4 linked regions of the Arabidopsis thaliana genome follow. The protein of the gene in region 1 purifies or fractionates together with the protein of each later gene. This does not show direct contact. Each region holds a gene or a part of one and is shown on either strand. Other genes may lie near its edges. The genes, in order: PPC1, PDC3, AT5G01320 and AT4G33070.

Region 1 (7,017 bases):
TTTCAGTTAAAAGTATAGTTTTTGCTAAAAATATTTATAACGGCATTAATCACGATACTCGCGTAAGTAGTATACTCTACCATATACTATCTTTTAGTGAGTCGGAAATATGTCATAAGCCATTACGCGACCATGCAATATTGCTTCCGTAAGCATCCGCACTAGTAAAGTGTCCAAATGGATGCCGTCAAAACAACAAAAGTGTTTTAAAAAAGAACCGAAACAAGTTTTCACACTTGGTCCTTAGCTTCTCAAACTCTTCTTCGTCCTGATAATGGACTTTAATTATCATGTTATACGTCAACCAAGTTATCAGCTAACCATCATCACTTTATTAAGTATATGCAGCCTTGTGCTCATAATATTCATTATATTATACTAAAAGTCTAATCATATGAAGAAAGGAAAAAAAAAAAAAGAGGCTTGTTTATGAAATTAAGGAGTGCACGTAAGGCCATATTTATAATTCTATTTCAGAAAATGTAAATTCAAACACGGCAAATATGTTAGTTTCATGGTGCATGCATGATGCATTTCCAACTGTTTCTTTTTTTGGGGATGAAAATGTATTTCCACCGGTTAATTAACGAAGCTTCTATTTCATGTTTCCGTTTTCTTTTACTTTTTTTTTTTGTTTTTACTTCATATATATCATTTGACAAAGTTAAGGCTTTAAAATGGCAGTAGTTTCTTAATTTGTTTTTAGATTTTGGATTTATGGTGTTTAGTTCTTAGTTTTTTTTTGCAGTAAATTTTTAGTTTTATATAAATGTATGTACCCAATACATATCACTATATATTTTATAGTCCAAAAGAATTTTATGTGATGGTGAAAAGAAAAAAATGTGTGATCATTCGCTGAAATTAATAAATTTTGCAGTATATTAAAGAAAACTAGAAAAGTGAGTACCTAATATTCCAACAATTAGACTGTATCACTCATGCCTGTCGTCTGTCGACTGTTGACTTGTGTTATAATAAAGACATTTCAAATTATCCGAATATTCCATTAGCACATATGAAGATATCCAATTTTTGAATAATTGGAGTCGACCAATGTAAAATATTCATAACGTGACATCACATCACATACATGTACGACTTTGTCACTTACCAAAAATGATCTAGTTATGATAATAACATCATCACATGAGTAAGAATGATAAGGCATGATCTAATCAGCATCATATACCGCTACTTTATTTACTATCACATTTTCGTTCACAAGAGTAATATTATATTTGATTTTATATATGTCTAAAAATTTATCGTAGACTGCCGATTTTAGATTTTGGGAGGTTAGAAGAACTAATAAAACCGAAAGAAATAGATGATGGTCGGTTAAATACTTAAGTCCTTTATAAGAAAGAAAAATTAAAAGTCAACTTTATCGCTGAAAGTGAAAGTTAGGTTGAAAGTTCAGAGATTTATTCATCAACTTCCGTGCATTGACACATGCTCTTCTCTACATTCGCTCACGTGAATTTTAGAACAACAAATTATTTTACAAACACTATAATCTTCCGGTAATTTAACCACAATAAAGAGATAAATAATCTTTATATTAAATCGATCGAATTCTAATTCTGTAGGTACTGTGAGTCAAACATGAAAGTGTAAATTTTCAAAATATGATTGGTGTTAACTTAGGTGAATCAATTTTTGATGTTTTTTTGTTGATTATATAAATCAAAATTACGGAAGAATGCATGTTGTTTACATAAGTGATATAATTAATTTTTTACTGATATATTAAAAATAAAAATATTTTATGTTATTGTTTTGGTTATTTTTTTGTTCCACAAAAATTAATTAATCATAATATTTCTTTCTTGACTATCACTAGATTCAATGAAAATCTCTCTTTTATACATAAATAAAAATCTTCTCAATGCATTAATAAATATATATAAATTGAGGAAAAAAAGAGATAGAAATCATGGAAAAAAAGGTTAAAAATTCCAACTATAAGCGAGCATCACATATAGAAATAGAATAATGTATAGGAATCCATCATGATCTCACTCTCTATATATAGGTAAGCCAAGTATCTTATTTTTGGTTATGTATCTCTGAAATCTGAATCTGACTGACTTCAAAGGACACAGCTTTTACTTCTATAACTGGTTAGCTTCTCCACACACACACACACTTGTTAGATTTACTTTTCCTCCGCACTATCAGCAGATTTTTCTCATCTGGGTCTGTTTGTTTCTGTTGACTCAAAGTTTCCGACTTTCTTATTTTCTGTCTCCGATTTCATCGCCGAAATCTCAGTCAATTTTGTCTTTAGATCTTTAATTTTTGGATCCCTTTAATTATTTTGTTTGGTCTTACTTCAGAGCGAAGCAGGTGAAAAAATGGCGAATCGGAAGTTAGAGAAGATGGCATCGATTGATGTTCATCTTCGTCAACTGGTTCCTGGCAAAGTTAGTGAAGACGACAAGCTTGTTGAGTATGATGCTTTGCTTCTAGATCGGTTTCTCGATATCCTCCAGGATTTGCACGGTGAAGATCTCCGTGAAACTGTACGTTTTCTCCATTTTGGATTTGACCCTTTTGCTATAAGATCCTGAAACTACATGCTCTGTTTTGAGTATTGACTAAAGGTTTCAACTTTTTTTGATTCGATCATGGATTAGATTAGTTAGGGTTTTGAAACGCAGGAAGATTTAAACTTTATGTTAGTTTTGAGATTAGTAGTTTCATGTGATCTAATTTTGATGATCTTATTGTGTGTGTTGTTGTATATAGGTTCAAGAGCTTTATGAGCATTCTGCAGAATACGAAGGGAAGCATGAACCTAAGAAGCTAGAGGAGCTAGGGAGTGTGCTAACGAGTTTAGATCCAGGAGATTCCATTGTTATCGCTAAAGCTTTCTCTCATATGCTTAACTTAGCCAATTTGGCTGAGGAAGTGCAGATTGCTTATCGCCGTAGGATCAAGAAGCTGAAGAAAGGTGATTTTGTTGATGAGAGCTCTGCTACTACTGAATCTGATCTTGAAGAAACTTTCAAGAAGCTTGTTGGAGATCTGAACAAGTCTCCTGAAGAGATCTTTGATGCTCTCAAGAATCAGACTGTGGATTTGGTTTTGACTGCTCATCCTACTCAGTCTGTGAGAAGATCATTGCTTCAGAAACATGGGAGGTTAGTCTTTGAGGCTTCACCGGGCTTGCTTTGGATCGATGTTTTGATGTTAAAGTTATCTACTTTGTGCGGTTTTTCAGGATAAGAGACTGTCTGGCTCAACTATATGCTAAGGATATTACTCCTGATGACAAGCAAGAGCTCGATGAGGCTCTTCAGAGAGAGGTAAAATCTTATTGGATTCTTCATATTTACATGATTTTGGAAACTAATGGAAAAAAAACTTGGGTTTTTGTTAGATTCAAGCTGCATTCCGAACAGATGAAATCAAAAGAACACCACCTACTCCTCAAGATGAGATGAGAGCGGGAATGAGTTATTTCCATGAAACTATCTGGAAAGGTGTTCCTAAGTTTCTGCGCCGTGTTGACACGGCTTTGAAAAACATAGGGATCGAAGAACGTGTTCCATATAATGCTCCATTGATTCAGTTCTCTTCTTGGATGGGTGGTGATCGTGACGGTACATTTCTACAAGTCCTTCTCGCATAGCTCTCTTATTGCGCTCCCTCTCTTAATGGTTTTACTCATGTCACAAACTCACAATATATGTGTATTTGCAGGTAACCCAAGGGTTACACCTGAAGTCACCAGAGATGTTTGCTTGTTAGCTAGAATGATGGCTGCTACTATGTACTTTAACCAAATCGAAGATCTTATGTTTGAGGTTTGATCTCGAGTTCTTTTTTTGAGTTTAGTCTCCTTACTTTCTTTTATTTATGTATCACCTCATTTCATGATTACTGCTTCTTTCATAGATGTCTATGTGGCGTTGCAATGACGAGCTGCGTGCGCGAGCTGATGAAGTTCATGCAAATTCGAGGAAAGATGCTGCAAAACATTACATAGGTAAGAAAAATAACCGATTTTGAGCATTTTGTTTATGTTTAAGCTATGTGTCTGGAACCGATTTAATTTGGAACCTATCATTCATTGTCTTGATTGCAGAATTCTGGAAGTCAATTCCTACAACTGAGCCATACCGTGTGATTCTTGGCGATGTAAGGGACAAGCTTTATCACACACGTGAACGCGCTCATCAACTGCTCAGCAATGGACACTCTGATGTCCCTGTAGAGGCTACTTTCATTAACTTGGAACAGGTATCATTGCAATTAGAATCTTTTAACTCCCGGTTATGATTTGGTACTAAACCACTCTCTCATGCTATTTGTGTAGTTCTTGGAACCTCTTGAGCTCTGTTACCGATCTCTGTGTTCATGTGGTGATCGTCCAATAGCAGATGGAAGCCTTCTTGATTTCTTGAGGCAAGTCTCAACCTTTGGGCTCTCTCTTGTGAGACTTGACATAAGGCAAGAATCTGACCGCCACACTGATGTATTGGATGCTATCACCACGCATTTAGATATCGGATCCTACAGAGAGTGGTCTGAAGAACGCCGCCAAGAATGGCTTTTATCTGAGCTAAGTGGCAAACGTCCGCTTTTCGGTTCTGATCTTCCTAAAACCGAAGAAATAGCTGATGTTCTGGACACGTTTCATGTCATAGCCGAGCTACCAGCAGATAGCTTTGGTGCTTACATTATCTCTATGGCAACTGCACCTTCTGATGTATTAGCTGTTGAGCTTTTACAGCGTGAATGCCGAGTGAAACAGCCTTTGAGAGTTGTTCCGCTCTTTGAGAAGCTAGCAGATCTGGAAGCAGCTCCTGCTGCAGTTGCTAGGCTCTTTTCTGTTGATTGGTACAAAAACCGAATTAACGGTAAGCAAGAGGTTATGATTGGTTATTCGGATTCAGGAAAAGATGCTGGACGGTTATCTGCTGCTTGGCAGTTATACAAAGCTCAAGAAGAGCTTGTGAAGGTTGCTAAAGAGTACGGTGTGAAGCTAACAATGTTTCACGGTCGTGGTGGCACGGTCGGAAGAGGAGGTGGACCAACCCATCTTGCTATATTGTCTCAGCCTCCGGATACTATTAACGGTTCCCTCCGTGTCACAGTTCAAGGTGAAGTCATCGAGCAATCGTTTGGTGAAGAGCACTTATGCTTTAGAACACTTCAGCGTTTCACAGCTGCTACACTCGAGCACGGTATGCGTCCTCCAATTTCGCCTAAACCAGAATGGCGCGCTTTGCTGGATGAAATGGCGGTTGTTGCAACCGAGGAGTATCGCTCAGTTGTGTTCCAAGAACCTCGGTTTGTCGAGTACTTCCGCCTCGTAAGTATTATTACATTCACTCGGAATCTTTAACTCACCCCACAGAGTCTTAAAACTCACAGAATCTTAAAATCTGTTGCAGGCTACACCGGAACTGGAGTATGGACGTATGAATATCGGAAGCAGACCTTCGAAGCGTAAACCAAGCGGTGGCATTGAATCTCTCCGTGCAATTCCATGGATCTTCGCTTGGACTCAAACAAGATTCCATCTTCCTGTATGGCTTGGATTCGGATCAGCAATTAGACATGTGATCGAAAAAGACGTCAGGAACCTCCATATGCTCCAAGATATGTACCAACACTGGCCTTTCTTTAGAGTCACCATTGATCTAATCGAAATGGTGTTCGCTAAAGGAGATCCTGGTATTGCTGCTTTGTACGATAAGCTTCTTGTTTCAGAGGAACTCTGGCCTTTTGGTGAGAAACTCAGAGCTAACTTCGAAGAAACCAAGAAACTCATCCTCCAGGTAAAAACAGAGCCTTCTTGACTTCTTTCTTCTTATTATTATTGTAAGGTTTTGTCTGAATGGCTTTGCTGTTTGCAGACCGCTGGACACAAAGATCTTCTTGAAGGTGATCCTTACTTGAAACAGAGACTGAGACTTCGTGATTCTTACATTACAACTCTCAATGTCTGTCAAGCTTACACATTGAAGAGAATCCGTGATCCGAGTTACCATGTGACTCTGCGACCACACATTTCTAAGGAGATAGCGGAATCGAGCAAACCAGCAAAAGAACTCATCGAGCTTAACCCGACTAGCGAATACGCGCCAGGACTTGAAGATACACTCATCTTGACGATGAAGGGTATTGCTGCTGGTCTACAAAACACCGGTTAAGCTACAAAGAGATGGTTAAACAAACTTTGAATCTCTCTTTCTCTCTCAAGTCTCTCCTTTTTTTAACTACAGATTTGGAAAATAAGGTTGGATTCTGGTTTATTTTATGTATCCACCGTCAAAATGTTGATTTTCGTGTACGAGTACTTCGAGATCATTGAACACATGCTCTGTTTTTTTCTCAAGTTTAATAAAACAGAACAAGAGAATCTTTTCTTGTTTATTTTCTTATCTACACCACTAGACCAAGAACGGCACTGACTTAGTTGCTTAAAACACTTCGGTCTGGTTTGGTTCGGCTTTTTGTTCATCATTGTGTAAACAAACATGTAGTTTGAGTATGTTTGTGGTCCCGAAAAACGGCAGACATGTTTGCGGAAAGAGGCCGTTAAAAAGCAAAAATGGTTCGAAGAAAACGACACGGTGTTTGAGTCTCGTATATAGACACGGTGTGCATTTTCTAGTTCGAGTAACGTCCCAACGGCTCTGTATTAATTGTGAGAATTTATAGCGTACATGTACGGTGTACCGGTTTTTCACCAACGTACTTTATGCTTTAATTTAATTTCACTGAGGTCAAAAAGTTCACACTAGTCTTAGTCGGTGAGTGTTAATCACGCGCCTCCACTAATGATGCAAAAAAACAGAAATTTTATTATTATTAGTAAATTGGCTTTTCTGTGATATAATAATAATAATAAACTCAAATTTAGCTAAAAGTTGAAGACGACCAAACATATGTTATCCATCAAAATATAGTTTAAAATAAAAAGAGAAAAATACGTGTCAAACTACCACGAATTAAGGGCACCGACTTTGGCCGGCGGTAGAATAGCACCGGCTAACG
Region 2 (5,040 bases), on another chromosome or scaffold:
CTTGTGCCAAAAGCATAAAGATTTACTGAAATATTTTTGCAATTTTCTTGCTGTCATCTTACATTTAGTTACTTTTTTACAGATAGAAATTTACTTATATAAATTGATACTTATATACACGAAACACGGACGTTTTATTTTGCACTAAAAAATTTATAATTTTTTGTGATACGAAAAGACATTTTACGTTAGAAGATGATGAAAATAAATTTATTTTCAAACTATATTAGAGTATAACATGGATTTTTTATTTTATTTTTGTTATTAACTATATATGTATCTTTGAACTTGTTTGCCAAGATGAACCATTAATGCAGCATTAAGTCTCTGATTTTCGTCTTAACTATGATATAACTTACATTAAGTAGCTGCCAAAGAAACGAAAAAGAACCTAAAGAAATACTAGATTCGTATTGTTCAAGAATTTTATTACCTTATATTGAGAAGTTAGTATAATTATTGGAACTCAATAATTTACATGCACGTAAAGGCATTAATAAGATTAGAATATTCCATCCTGATTCCATCAACAATTTTCATTTCACGTTTAAGAAAAAGCAGAAATATTGAAGTTTATAATGAAAACTTTGTCAACAAGGGGTTCCCTAATATGAAGGATATTAAAAGCAAAATCAATTAAAACCAGCGGTCAAAAAATCGAAACCAGTACTTAATTAGACATAAGAGAAAGAACAAAAGTAGCGATGTGATTAGATTGCCAATAAACGATAGATGCTTGAGCGACACTCAAGATTCGTTTCTTTTCTCTTGCTTCTACTGAGGATTGGGAGGACGACCATTAGCAGCTGAGACGCGAGAGCCCCACTCAAGCAACTCTTTGCTCGTATCATCCTTGTGAACAATCACTTCAATGAAACAAAGACTATCTTTCTTCTCCAATGTCGCCGTGTTAATCGCTTCCACTAACTCCTCCTCGTATCTCACCTACCAAAAACACAACATTCATAATGTTACTCTTCAACCCTGGACTCATATGTTTAATTTCCAACTGTAAACATCAATTACCTTTGTGGTCCAGCATTTGCCTTCACCATTATGAATAGCATCGACAAGACCAGTGTAGTTCCAATTCTTGATCACATTGTAAGGACCATCATGAATCTCAACTTCAATGGTGTAGCCACCGTTGTTGATCAGGAAGATGATGGTCTTCTGTCCGTTACGAATCATTGTGGAAACGTCCTGAGCCGTCACTTGGAAACTTCCGTCTCCAATGAAAGACAACACTCTCTTCTCCGGTGTTGCTTGAGCGTATCCTAGAGTCGCACCAACAGACCAACCAATTGATCCATACTGCATTTGAAACTCGTACCTACAATATAGAGAACAACGACTTTTTAAAACTCTTGTGTGTTTTTTCTTTTCCAGAGAATTACTAAAAAGTTCTGGGGATATCTATATAGGCCCATAAATCATCTCAGGCTAAATACCAAGGCATTTTATATCGTTTCCAACCAAGTACATATATACCACCACTCTTTAACCAGCAATTTCTAGATGTTGACTTTACTAGATGAGCTTATATTGACTGCTTCAACAATGTTAAAAGGTAAAAGATTTAGTTTCCTTTTTCTAGATACGTACCCACATCCTTTAGGCAGCTTAAGTTTCTGACAATTGAACCAAGAATCACCAGTTTCAGCAATCACAGCGGTTTCATTAGAGAGCATCTTCTGAATGTGTTGGAACATTGCGTTGATTCTCAAAGGCTCTCTTGGTTTGCATTTCAAAGGCTTACCTTCAGGGACAAAGATTCTATGGTAGTTCTCATAAGCCGTCTTGTTAGGTTTCACCCTCTTAGCCAACTCCCTGAAGAATTCGCTCATCCGAACGCAACCAAAGGTAGGACCATTAGCCACAACGACACTATCAGGATGCACAATGATGGCTTTTTCTTTCTTGAGGAGAAGTGAGTAACCAACGGAGCTGTAGTCGTTGAAGATTGGACCTGCGAAGATGTAAGCATCCGCGGACTCGACAATCTCAGAGCAGAAAAGAGTGCTCACTGCTCCCCAGTAAGTGCCAATGAAATGAGGATGGTTCTCTGGGACAAAGCCTTTGGCAGATGGCATCACTGCCACGGGGTAGCCTGAAGCATCAGCTAGCTCCACAAAGGCATCCCTAGCTTTAGCCACACGCAACTTGGGACCACCGACCATAACGGGCTTCACGGCCTTGTTTAGAAACTCCAATGTTGCTTCCACGGCAGCTTCTAAACAATCCTTGTTGCTCAACCTAATTTAAGAAACAATCCACACATCTTTGAGCTTGATTCTTGAAGAGAACAGGATTGATCAGTTATATTTACCTTGGAGTTAGGTCAAAAGGGACAGGATAACTAGCAAATGTAGGATGAGGAATGGCAGCTAAGTTACAGCTGATGCTAATGTACACAGGCTTGCTCTCTCTCAGAGCTGTTGCTATCGCCTTGTCGATCTGTTCATGAGCATCCTCTAAATGGTTCACCACAGCCTGAAAACAAACACACTGTCAAAATCTAAGAATGTGATGATCAAGATTCGATAATGTGGTTATACCTGATAGCAAGTAACAGTTTGGAAACACCTAAGCTCTTGGCTAAAATCAGGTAAACCAATGGTGTGATGAAGAATCCGGTTAGTGCCAAAATCGTTGGAGTTAGGACCTCCAACGATACATATAACTGGTAGGTTCTCACTGTACGCACCAGCGATAGCGTTCAAAACGCTGAGTCCACCAACGGTGAAAGTCACGACGCAAGCACCGACTCCACGAGATCGAGCGTATCCATCGGCGGCGTAACCGGCGTTTAGCTCGTTACAGCACCCGATGTTGTTGAGCTCCGGGTTGGCGATGAGCTGGTCAAGCAGAGATAGGTTGAAATCACCGGGAACAGTGAAAATGTCGGTGACTCCGGCTTGGACAAGACGGCGGGATAAGTGACGTCCAAGAGTCGCTGCAGAGGAGCCGAGTATGGTTGCGGCGGTGGGAGCGGAGTCTTGGATTGTTGCGACGCCGTTGCTTGGTAGACTTCGGACGTCCATTGGAAAATGAGCTTAATAATTAGGATATGATGATGAAGCTCTCTTTGTTTTTCTTGTGAGCAGTATAATGCTGTTGGATTATATAGTTGTTTGTGCGTTGTAGTAGATTCAAAACACTACCAGTTTATTTCGTAATAAAATTGTTTAGTAATTATATAGTTTTTTATACGAATAATGCATACGATTATATTATAAAATGTTCAATTAGACATACAGAATTAATCATCTGATTTTCCTCTCTGGACTTACATTTAATTCAACGTGCAAAGAAACGAAAATAATATATTTTAATTGTTTATAAAGATATACTGATCAGTTGTATTATTGTTCAAGACGACTTGTATTAACTTGAAATAAATTATTAGAATTCAATAATTTACATGTGATGCGCGCAAGGGTAGAGTTACATCGTGATCCCATACCATAATACTTCACATGTGTATGTGGCCATATTTAACAACATTGCGAGTCTTTTTGTTCCTTGCTTCTTATATAGTTAAACGATTCATACTAATTCTGTTACTTGGGATTTGGGAACAAATTGTTCTTGTTCTCATAAATTACACTCTTATCTATGTTAGTAAACTTACGACGCTCATTATAAAGTATCACATGAACAACAAAAAGTCTCCATGGTGATGGAACATTGCTATTTCATTAATATTTAAATGGATTATTAATGTGTTAACGTGGGAGCACATGTTAACGCGTGAGAACAAGTTGTTATGTTTTCATAACATTAAAACCAAAAAAAAGGGTTAATAACATGTTGTTAAACAACAATGTATATTTCAACGTGTAAATTTTTTTTTTGCCAGACATTCTAACGTGTTTAGTGATTACCTTGAAAACTATCTCTTCGAATCATTGTTAATATCTCAAACCAACAGAGTCGCCGGTAATATATTCCCAACATTCATTTTGAGTACATAAACAATGTGACCAACTTTTAGGCGATTAGGGTTTTTCCGTTTCTGCCGCCGCGTTGCTGGTCGCCGGCTTCTCGCCGGTTGAGATCTTGTCATGTCTAAGAAGAAAAAGAAGATCCCTCTCCTTCCTGTCAGTTCAAAGTTCGCTCGGGTTTTGGCTTGCGCTCAGTCCGGCTCTGTCCCCCTGTCGTCGTCTGCTCCTTCCGGATCTGCTTCGCCTCCTTCCTCTGGTCTTCCCTGCGCTGGCTCTTTGGCTCTGGTTCTCCCTGTTCCTCTGGTTTTCGACTTGGAAGAGAATTCCTTGTCTCCCGAGGTTATTTCGGAGACTGTTTCTCTCATCCCGAAGTCGTCTACTCTTACTCCTCTGGTAGCTATTGAAGCGAATGGGTCATCCATTCAGCCTCTGCCTACTGTAATTTCCTCCTCGGTTGGCTTGGGATCAGTGTCCGAGATCTCCTCCGCTGGTTCCCCCATTTTGACTCCTTCAGTTGGCTCAGCTCCTCTCTTAGCTCCGAGCTCAGGGCCTGTTGGCTCCTCAGATATGGTTGCTACCAAGTCTCTCTCTTTGGGATCTGCTATTCCTCAGTCTTCGACTCCTATTTCGGGCTCTTCCTCTCAGGCCCCCAGCTCCGATTCAAAAATTGATCTTCCTTGGGTAGCTAAGTTTAAGGCTTCACTGCATAACCTTAAGCAAATGAGTCAGCCAACTTACTTGGAAGATGGTACTCCGGTTGTGATCGCTCCTTCCTCGGTCTTGTTGAAGTCTGCTGCTTTGTGGAAGGGCCATGTCGTAGCTCAATTTCATGGCTCTTGTCCTCCTGCAACCCGGATCTTCTCTGATTTGAATCCAATTTGGGGAAATTACGGTGATATTACCGTTCGCATCGTCTCCGAGACTGTGGCTCTGATTTTTATTCCGGCTCTTAATACTCGCCAATGGGTGGTGGATGTGGGATTCTGGCAAGCTGGTAACTGTTCTTGTACAGTCTACCCTTGGTCTTCAGAAGGTCTCCTTAATATTGATGAGTTGAAGACTGCTCCAACCTGGGCTGTATTGAAGAATGTTC
Region 3 (4,510 bases), on another chromosome or scaffold:
GAAACACTGGAACTCTTTCACGACCTCGTTCTTCCGTGACTCAGTTGATGTACTTGAAGAGGTCAACAGCCAAGGCAAGGCCAATGTGGCGAGCGAAGATCTGTTGAAAGGTGAGCTGCGTTGCAATCGGTGTAGAAGCGCACACCCAAATATTCCAAAACTTAAATCACATGTCAGAAGCTGCCATTCTCAATTTCCAGACCATTTACTCCAAAACAATCGCCTTGTGGCTAGAGCAGAGACGTAGTAGTTATAACGACCGGTTCTATTTCGGTTAGGATTTTTTTTTCTTTGTTATCTAATTGTTACGGGTAATATATATTGTGATTTTGGTTCAGATTCAGTCTCTGTAAAAATTCATCTCTGTTCTTAGGTTTTCATCTTCTTCTGGTTATTAAGTTTTTGATTTTGTTCTTGAGTTATAAACTTAAATGGCAAGAAAACAAGACAGATAAAAAGAAAAAAAAGTCAAATAAATTTTAACCCAATTGAGATGTAAGATGGTTTAAAAATGTTTGATTTAGGTTGAATCAATTGATTTTTTTCGGACTTTACATATAAGAAAAAGCACAAATATTGAAGAATATTAGGGAAAAAGGGAATTGTATTACACCATCAATGGTAATGGTACAGTACAACTAACTGGAAAGTATCAAAAGCAATTAAAACCAACGGTCGAAAATTCGAAAATTCGAACAGAAAACAATCTAATTCAATTGCAAAGAAACGAGAGATGCTTGAGTCACACTCAAGATTCTTTTCTCTTGCTTCTACTGAGGATTGGGAGGACGACCATTAGCAGCTGAGACGCGAGATCCCCACTCAAGCAACTCTTTGCTTGTATCATCTTTGTGAACAATCACTTCAATGAAACAAAGACTATCTTTCTTCTCCGTTGTCGCAGTCTTAATCGCTTCCACTAACTCCTCCTCGTATCTCACCTGCCAAACACAATGTTACTTCAACACCAAATTCATACGTTAGTTACTAGTTGTAATCATTAATTACCTTTGTGGTCCAGCATTTTCCTTCACCGTTATGAATAGCATCGACAAGACCAGTGTAGTTCCAGTTCTTGATAACATTGTAAGGACCATCATGAATCTCAACTTCAATGGTGTAGCCACCGTTGTTGATCAAGAAGATGATCGCCTTCTGTCCGTTACGAATCATCGTGGATATGTCCTGAGCAGTCACTTGGAAACTCCCATCTCCAATGAAAGACAACACTCTCTTCTCCGGGGTTGCTTGGGCGTATCCTAGAGTCGCACCAACAGACCAACCAATGGATCCATACTGCATCTGAAACTCGTACCTACAATATAGAGAACAACTTTTCTCAAAACTTGTGTTTGTTTCGCTATTGTCACAATGTTAGAAATGTCAAAGATTCAGTTTCTTTGTTAGACACGTACCCACATCCTTTAGGCAGCTTTAGCTTCTGACAATTGAACCAAGAATCACCAGTTTCAGCAATCACAGCGGTTTCACTAGAGAGCATCTTCTGAATGTGTTGGAACATTGCGTTGACCCTCAATGGCTCTCCTGGTTTGCATTTCAATGGCTTACCTTCAGGTACAAAGATCCTCTCATAGTTCTCATAAGCTGTCTCGTTACGCTTAACCCTCTTAGCCAACTCCCTGAAGAAATCGCTCATCAGAACGCAACCAAACGTTGGACCATTAGCCACAACGACTCGATCAGGATGCACAATTATTGCTTTTTCTTTCTTGAGGAGAAGAGAGTAACCTACGGAGCTGTAGTCGTTGAAGATTGGACCTGCGAAGATGTAAGCATCCGCAGATTCGACAATCTCAGAGCAGAAAGGTGTGCTTACTGCTCCCCAGTAAGTGCCAATGAAATGAGGATGGTTCTCTGGTACAAGGCCTTTTGTAGAAGGCATCACTGCGAGAGGGTAGCCTGAAGCATCAGCTAGCTCCAAAAAGGCCTCACTTGCTTTAGCCACACGCAACTTTGGGCCACCAACCATAACTGGCTTCACTGCCTTGTTCAGAAACTCCAATGTTGCTTCCACCGCAGCTTCTAAACCCATCGTGTTGCTCATCCTAAGAAACAATACATACAATAGTGAGAAATCTAAAACAAACGTTGATTCGATGAGTCTGTTTAGAGTAATGATTACCTAGGAGTTAGGTCAAAAGGGACAGGATCACGAGCAAACGTAGGATGAGGAGTTGCAGCTAAGTTGCAACTGATGCTAATGTACACAGGCTTGCTCTCTTTCAAAGCTGTTGCTATCGCCTTGTCGATCTGTTCATGAGCATCCTCCAAATTGTTCACCACAGCCTGAAAACAAACACATAGTTAAAATCTAAGCAAAGGAGATATATATGTGATGATCAAGACTAGTTGATATTGAAATGTGTTAATACCTGGTAGCAAGTAACAGTTTGGAAACACCTAAGCTCTTGGCTAAAGTCAGGTAAACCGATGGTGTGATGAAGAATCCGGTTAGTGCCAAAATCGTTGGAGTTAGGACCTCCAACGATACATATAACTGGTAGGTTCTCACTGTACGCACCAGCGATAGCGTTCAAAACGCTGAGTCCACCAACGGTGAAAGTCACGACGCAAGCACCGACTCCACGAGATCGAGCGTATCCATCGGCGGCGTAACCGGCGTTAAGCTCGTTACAGCATCCGATGTTGTTGAGCTCTGGCTCGGCGATGAGGTGGTCGAGAAGAGTTAGGTTGAAATCACCGGGAACAGAGAAAACATCGGTGACTCCGGCTTGGACAAGACGGCGGGATAAGTGACGTCCTAGAGTCGATTCGGAGGTTGTGGTGATGGGAGCGGAGTCTTGGATTGTTGCGACGGCGTTGCTTGGTGGACTTCCGATGTCACCAGTTGTTGGCTTACACGTGTCGATGGCTCCAATTTTGGTGTCCATTGGAAAGCTTATTATGAAGAAAATGAAACCTTTTAGTATTTATTTTAGTGGTGATGATGAGTAATAAATTGGAATTATTAGATGGGTTATATAGTTGTACATGTTGATTAGTGCAAATTACATTCGGTTTCTGACTTCCTTGTGCCAAAAGCATAAAGATTTACTGAAATATTTTTGCAATTTTCTTGCTGTCATCTTACATTTAGTTACTTTTTTACAGATAGAAATTTACTTATATAAATTGATACTTATATACACGAAACACGGACGTTTTATTTTGCACTAAAAAATTTATAATTTTTTGTGATACGAAAAGACATTTTACGTTAGAAGATGATGAAAATAAATTTATTTTCAAACTATATTAGAGTATAACATGGATTTTTTATTTTATTTTTGTTATTAACTATATATGTATCTTTGAACTTGTTTGCCAAGATGAACCATTAATGCAGCATTAAGTCTCTGATTTTCGTCTTAACTATGATATAACTTACATTAAGTAGCTGCCAAAGAAACGAAAAAGAACCTAAAGAAATACTAGATTCGTATTGTTCAAGAATTTTATTACCTTATATTGAGAAGTTAGTATAATTATTGGAACTCAATAATTTACATGCACGTAAAGGCATTAATAAGATTAGAATATTCCATCCTGATTCCATCAACAATTTTCATTTCACGTTTAAGAAAAAGCAGAAATATTGAAGTTTATAATGAAAACTTTGTCAACAAGGGGTTCCCTAATATGAAGGATATTAAAAGCAAAATCAATTAAAACCAGCGGTCAAAAAATCGAAACCAGTACTTAATTAGACATAAGAGAAAGAACAAAAGTAGCGATGTGATTAGATTGCCAATAAACGATAGATGCTTGAGCGACACTCAAGATTCGTTTCTTTTCTCTTGCTTCTACTGAGGATTGGGAGGACGACCATTAGCAGCTGAGACGCGAGAGCCCCACTCAAGCAACTCTTTGCTCGTATCATCCTTGTGAACAATCACTTCAATGAAACAAAGACTATCTTTCTTCTCCAATGTCGCCGTGTTAATCGCTTCCACTAACTCCTCCTCGTATCTCACCTACCAAAAACACAACATTCATAATGTTACTCTTCAACCCTGGACTCATATGTTTAATTTCCAACTGTAAACATCAATTACCTTTGTGGTCCAGCATTTGCCTTCACCATTATGAATAGCATCGACAAGACCAGTGTAGTTCCAATTCTTGATCACATTGTAAGGACCATCATGAATCTCAACTTCAATGGTGTAGCCACCGTTGTTGATCAGGAAGATGATGGTCTTCTGTCCGTTACGAATCATTGTGGAAACGTCCTGAGCCGTCACTTGGAAACTTCCGTCTCCAATGAAAGACAACACTCTCTTCTCCGGTGTTGCTTGAGCGTATCCTAGAGTCGCACCAACAGACCAACCAATTGATCCATACTGCATTTGAAACTCGTACCTACAATATAGAGAACAACGACTTTTTAAAACTCTTGTGTGTTTTTTCTTTTCCAGAGAATTACTAAAAAGTTCTGGGGATATCTATATAGGCCCATAAATCATCTCAGGCTAAATACCAAGGCATT
Region 4 (4,720 bases), on another chromosome or scaffold:
TGCAGCACATAAGTTTTCACCTCTCAGTATTGAACATGCGCCGTATTTCAATTTCAAGCTTATAAGAATATTATTTTCTGTTTTGTCTCGTCACGTAGAAGAACACTCAACACAACGGGTCATATAAAAACAATCAATTGACCAATTGAAACACTTACCATTAGCTTTACTAAAACAAAAAGTGCTACAGCTCAATTATTTCGACGTACTTTTTTTTTTTTTTTTTTTGGTCTTTTGTGGCCTATTTCGACGTTCTTTAAAACCACGATCATAGTGGTTTGGGATATAGTAATTAATTTCATGTGTTTAACCAAAAGGTAGGAAAAGTAATTAATTATTAGTTGTTGAGAAATCAAGTTGCAAAGGAGATTACCGGCGACTCCGTTGGTTTATGAAACAAACAATGAGACGGTTTAGAATGACGGTGGCCCCAATATTTTAGGTCTGCTCATATTATTTTGAATGATTTAATTTTTTTTATTTAAATAAGGTACCCTTATATACATAAATGATTTAATTTAGTAAAAGCTTTTGTTTATATTGCTTTTATACAAGTTTTTGGGTATGACTATTTTAACCTCAATCCTCAAAACTATAAAATCTATTATTGCACGCTTGGATTTTATATATATATATTCAATCTATAAGAACTAAAAAATAAAAGTGATCATAGTCAAATAATTTTTGCATAAATACTTAATATTGCTACCCAAAAAAAAGAAAATTGCATAAATTTATGTATAATTACATTATGAAAAATTATTGATATGTTGATATACAGTTTTCTAGGAAATATCAATATGAAAAGAAAAAAAGAAAAAAAAACATTGTAAGCTATTTCCCTTGAATTACACTATATGTATGTGTGACAGTATATATGTGTGAGCTTAATCATATAATTACCGTAACATCACTATTGATCTTGAAAGTTACGACGACAAAAACAAGATTCCATCATAGATCTACGTGTATCTTTTGTGTGATTAGTATATAACCAAAGCGATTAAGTGAATTTAAAATTTGTAGATATTTCTTACTTAACTGATTATACTATAAGAAGCAAACCCCAAAACCATCTGCATCTCAACGACGATAATCGTCCGAATATGTTTTTCTAATAGAGTTTGCTGACCAAATGCAAATGGCATCACGTCTCTTGCCGTTTGACGCTAGCAATTACACTTCTTCATTGAAACTTTAAAAGTGAACCCAAAGAATTAACTCAATAATAACTGATGAGTATACAAATTATTGTTTCCGGCTAAAAACCTGAAATTAACTCAAATTTGGAATGGGGATATTATAACTTTGTTCCCACGTATAACAAATTAGTTCATAATTAAGAGGAGAATCACAAAAATAACTGATGTATTGATGTTCAATTTTGGAAAATTAAGATATTTCCAATGGTAATAATCTGTTACAGCCTTACTGGGAGTAGTATGATACTAAAACAGTAAATGCATTTTAGACCGACATAAACAATAATTAAGAAGAAGAATGTTTGGGTCAAATCTCAAAGTTAGATATTATTTTTTTGCTTTTTGCACAAGAAAACAGAAACCAAAAACCACTAGTCAAAAAACCACCCATGTATTCCTCCTAGTCTCTAATCCAACAACTATATAAAAACCTCTCCCATTCTCATTTTGTTACTCATCCCAAAAATAAAAAGAGTATATCTCTCACACACATACACAAACTTGACAGTTTTTTAATTTCTCTGTTAGTGAACTCAAACCTTCCCATTTCCATGGACACCAAAATCGGATCGATCGATGATTGCAAGCCGACGAACGGCGACGTCTGTAGTCCAACAAACGGCACCGTCGCAACAATCCACAACTCTGTTCCTTCCTCCGCTATCACCATCAACTACTGCGACGCGACTCTCGGCCGTCACTTAGCTCGTCGTCTCGTCCAAGCCGGCGTTACGGATGTTTTCTCTGTTCCCGGAGATTTCAACCTCACTTTGCTTGATCACCTCATGGCTGAGCCGGACCTCAACCTAATCGGATGTTGTAACGAGCTAAACGCCGGTTACGCTGCCGACGGTTACGCTAGATCTCGTGGAGTCGGCGCTTGCGTTGTTACCTTCACCGTTGGTGGACTCAGCGTTTTAAACGCGATCGCTGGTGCTTACAGCGAGAATCTTCCTCTTATCTGTATCGTCGGAGGTCCTAACTCTAACGATTATGGCACTAACCGGATTCTTCATCACACCATTGGATTACCTGATTTTAGCCAAGAGCTTAGGTGCTTCCAAACGGTGACTTGTTATCAGGTAATCACAAAAAATCAGATCTAATTAGAAATATTTTGAAGATTAATTAGCGTCGGATTATGAATGATTTTGGTTCTGTTTTTGTTTCTCAGGCGGTGGTGAACAATTTAGATGATGCTCATGAACAGATTGATAAAGCAATATCAACAGCTTTGAAAGAGAGCAAGCCTGTGTATATAAGTGTAAGCTGTAACTTAGCAGCGATTCCTCATCATACATTTAGCCGTGATCCTGTCCCTTTTTCTCTAGCTCCAAGGTAATTTATACTTGAACTCTGATCAATACTCTGTTTCTGCGAGAATTAAAACTCACAAATGGTTTTATCAGATTGAGCAACAAGATGGGTTTAGAAGCTGCGGTGGAAGCAACATTGGAGTTTCTGAATAAGGCTGTGAAGCCAGTTATGGTTGGTGGTCCTAAGTTGCGTGTGGCTAAAGCTTGTGATGCCTTTGTTGAGCTAGCTGATGCTTCAGGCTATGCTTTGGCGATGATGCCTTCTGCGAAAGGCTTTGTACCAGAGCACCATCCTCATTTCATTGGAACTTATTGGGGAGCAGTGAGCACTCCTTTTTGCTCTGAGATTGTGGAATCTGCGGATGCTTACATTTTTGCAGGTCCAATCTTCAACGACTATAGCTCTGTTGGTTACTCGCTTCTCCTCAAGAAAGAAAAAGCCATCGTTGTGCAACCTGATCGTATCACTGTGGCCAATGGTCCTACTTTTGGTTGCATTTTGATGAGCGATTTCTTCAGGGAATTGTCTAAGAGGGTGAAGCGTAACGAGACTGCATATGAGAACTACCATAGGATCTTTGTCCCTGAAGGTAAGCCATTGAAGTGTGAATCAAGAGAGCCATTGAGAGTTAACACAATGTTCCAGCACATTCAGAAGATGCTCTCTAGTGAAACCGCTGTGATTGCTGAAACCGGTGATTCTTGGTTCAATTGCCAAAAACTAAAGCTGCCAAAAGGATGTGGGTAAGTGTCCAGAAAAAAAAAGAGACTCTAATCTTTACACTTATTATAGTGAAGTAGGCACAAGATTTGAACCTGCTTTCTTCATTGTAGGTACGAGTTTCAGATGCAGTATGGATCGATTGGGTGGTCTGTTGGTGCAACTCTAGGATACGCACAGGCATCACCAGAGAAGCGAGTGTTGGCATTCATCGGTGATGGGAGTTTCCAAGTCACGGTTCAGGACATATCAACAATGCTGCGTAATGGACAGAAGACGATCATCTTCTTGATTAACAATGGTGGCTACACCATTGAAGTAGAGATTCATGACGGTCCTTATAACGTGATTAAGAACTGGAACTACACTGGTCTCGTTGACGCCATTCATAACGGTGAAGGCAATTGCTGGACTGCAAAGGTAATTAAAAAGATTGATGACAATGGAGTTTTAGCCAGACTTTGGTTATAAACTAACATATGAATTTGGTGTGTTTGACAGGTGAGATACGAAGAGGAGTTAGTGGAGGCGATTACGACAGCGACGACGGAGAAGAAAGATTGTCTATGTTTCATAGAAGTGATTCTTCACAAGGATGATACGAGCAAAGAGTTGCTTGAGTGGGGCTCACGCGTCTCTGCTGCTAACAGCCGTCCTCCCAATCCTCAGTAGAAGAAGCAACACAGAATCTTCAATGCTTCTTACCAATTTAGTGACATTTTCTGATAAGTGTTGATTTTTCGACCGTTGGGTTTAATCATGTTTCAAACTTATTAGTATCTCTTTCCATGTACGCTTTATCATGGAATAAAGTAAAGCTCCTTTTGCAGTTTCATTAGATTGAACAAATCCAAATGGTTCAATCTAAATCAATTTGGTTAATATCATATGATCTTTTTTGCATTTAAACTTGCTAAAAAATCGAACTAACCATGTTTTGCTAGAATTTTGAACCACATATCCTAGTGAAGAATACCATCCAACCTGGATGACCAATCTATTGAAGATAAATGTCAGTTGAAGGGCTTAAAATCATATCACTTATATAGCTAAGTTTCCTACATATAACATGTATTAACACATTAGTTCTGTATCATTGGAGCTAGTGACCTTATTTAAGATGCTCATTCATGTCTCTGAATGTATCTAAGTTTAAACAGGAGAGATTTTGACAGTGAACGGGCATCTTAAGGATCAACATAAGAAAACAAAATTAAATGGTTAAGATTTCCAAACTCAGGCAAGAGATTTTCCAGACCATTCTCGCTCCCTTCGTTTTTGTTTGGCTTGCATTCTGTTGAACTTCTCTTTTCCCTTTTCAAGAAGAGGGTCAACCACCATATACGCATCTGGATCATCCCTGCGTGACATTTTATCCTGCAGGATAGTTTCACACTGTCAGGTTCTTCCACAGGACACTATAAACACAAACATAGCTCAGCCTTCTGATGAAATCATTTGTGATTAGCATGCACTATCCT

What was found.
Region 2: the proteins of PPC1 (region 1) and PDC3 fractionate together in Arabidopsis thaliana (co-fractionation; one large-scale study listed by BioGRID). This does not show direct contact.
Region 3: the proteins of PPC1 (region 1) and AT5G01320 fractionate together in Arabidopsis thaliana (co-fractionation; one large-scale study listed by BioGRID). This does not show direct contact.
Region 4: the proteins of PPC1 (region 1) and AT4G33070 fractionate together in Arabidopsis thaliana (co-fractionation; one large-scale study listed by BioGRID). This does not show direct contact.

The regions. Positions count from the first base shown.
Region 1 is NC_003070.9:19,883,414-19,890,430, reverse strand, and holds PPC1 (phosphoenolpyruvate carboxylase 1), read left to right. Parts: upstream 1-2,017; 5' UTR 2,018-2,126; exon of another isoform or gene 2,127-2,342; 5' UTR 2,343-2,360; coding exon 2,361-2,528; intron 2,529-2,754; coding exon 2,755-3,149; intron 3,150-3,229; coding exon 3,230-3,314; intron 3,315-3,388; coding exon 3,389-3,611; intron 3,612-3,711; coding exon 3,712-3,815; intron 3,816-3,906; coding exon 3,907-3,997; intron 3,998-4,096; coding exon 4,097-4,251; intron 4,252-4,327; coding exon 4,328-5,326; intron 5,327-5,408; coding exon 5,409-5,795; intron 5,796-5,873; coding exon 5,874-6,170; 3' UTR 6,171-6,496; downstream 6,497-7,017. UniProt on the Arabidopsis thaliana protein: Through the carboxylation of phosphoenolpyruvate (PEP) it forms oxaloacetate, a four-carbon dicarboxylic acid source for the tricarboxylic acid cycle. Contributes probably to the adaptation to inorganic phosphate (Pi) deprivation.
Region 2 is NC_003076.8:131,764-136,803, forward strand, and holds PDC3 (pyruvate decarboxylase-3), read right to left. Parts: upstream 3,158-5,040; 5' UTR 3,045-3,157; coding exon 2,559-3,044; intron 2,494-2,558; coding exon 2,330-2,493; intron 2,257-2,329; coding exon 1,606-2,256; intron 1,334-1,605; coding exon 1,027-1,333; intron 946-1,026; coding exon 775-945; 3' UTR 501-774; downstream 1-500.
Region 3 is NC_003076.8:128,714-133,223, forward strand, and holds AT5G01320 (Thiamine pyrophosphate dependent pyruvate decarboxylase family protein), read right to left. Parts: upstream 2,975-4,510; 5' UTR 2,913-2,974; coding exon 2,394-2,912; intron 2,308-2,393; coding exon 2,144-2,307; intron 2,067-2,143; coding exon 1,416-2,066; intron 1,316-1,415; coding exon 1,009-1,315; intron 942-1,008; coding exon 771-941; 3' UTR 550-770; downstream 1-549. Other genes in the region: APTX (APRATAXIN-like protein), read left to right, coding at 1-247; PDC3 (pyruvate decarboxylase-3), read right to left, coding at 3,825-3,995, 4,077-4,383.
Region 4 is NC_003075.7:15,951,710-15,956,429, reverse strand, and holds AT4G33070 (Thiamine pyrophosphate dependent pyruvate decarboxylase family protein), read left to right. Parts: upstream 1-1,626; 5' UTR 1,627-1,753; coding exon 1,754-2,284; intron 2,285-2,376; coding exon 2,377-2,540; intron 2,541-2,611; coding exon 2,612-3,262; intron 3,263-3,352; coding exon 3,353-3,659; intron 3,660-3,740; coding exon 3,741-3,911; 3' UTR 3,912-4,173; downstream 4,174-4,720. Other genes in the region: AT4G33060 (Cyclophilin-like peptidyl-prolyl cis-trans isomerase family protein), read right to left, coding at 4,476-4,616. UniProt on the Arabidopsis thaliana protein: May play a role in ethanolic fermentation during anoxia.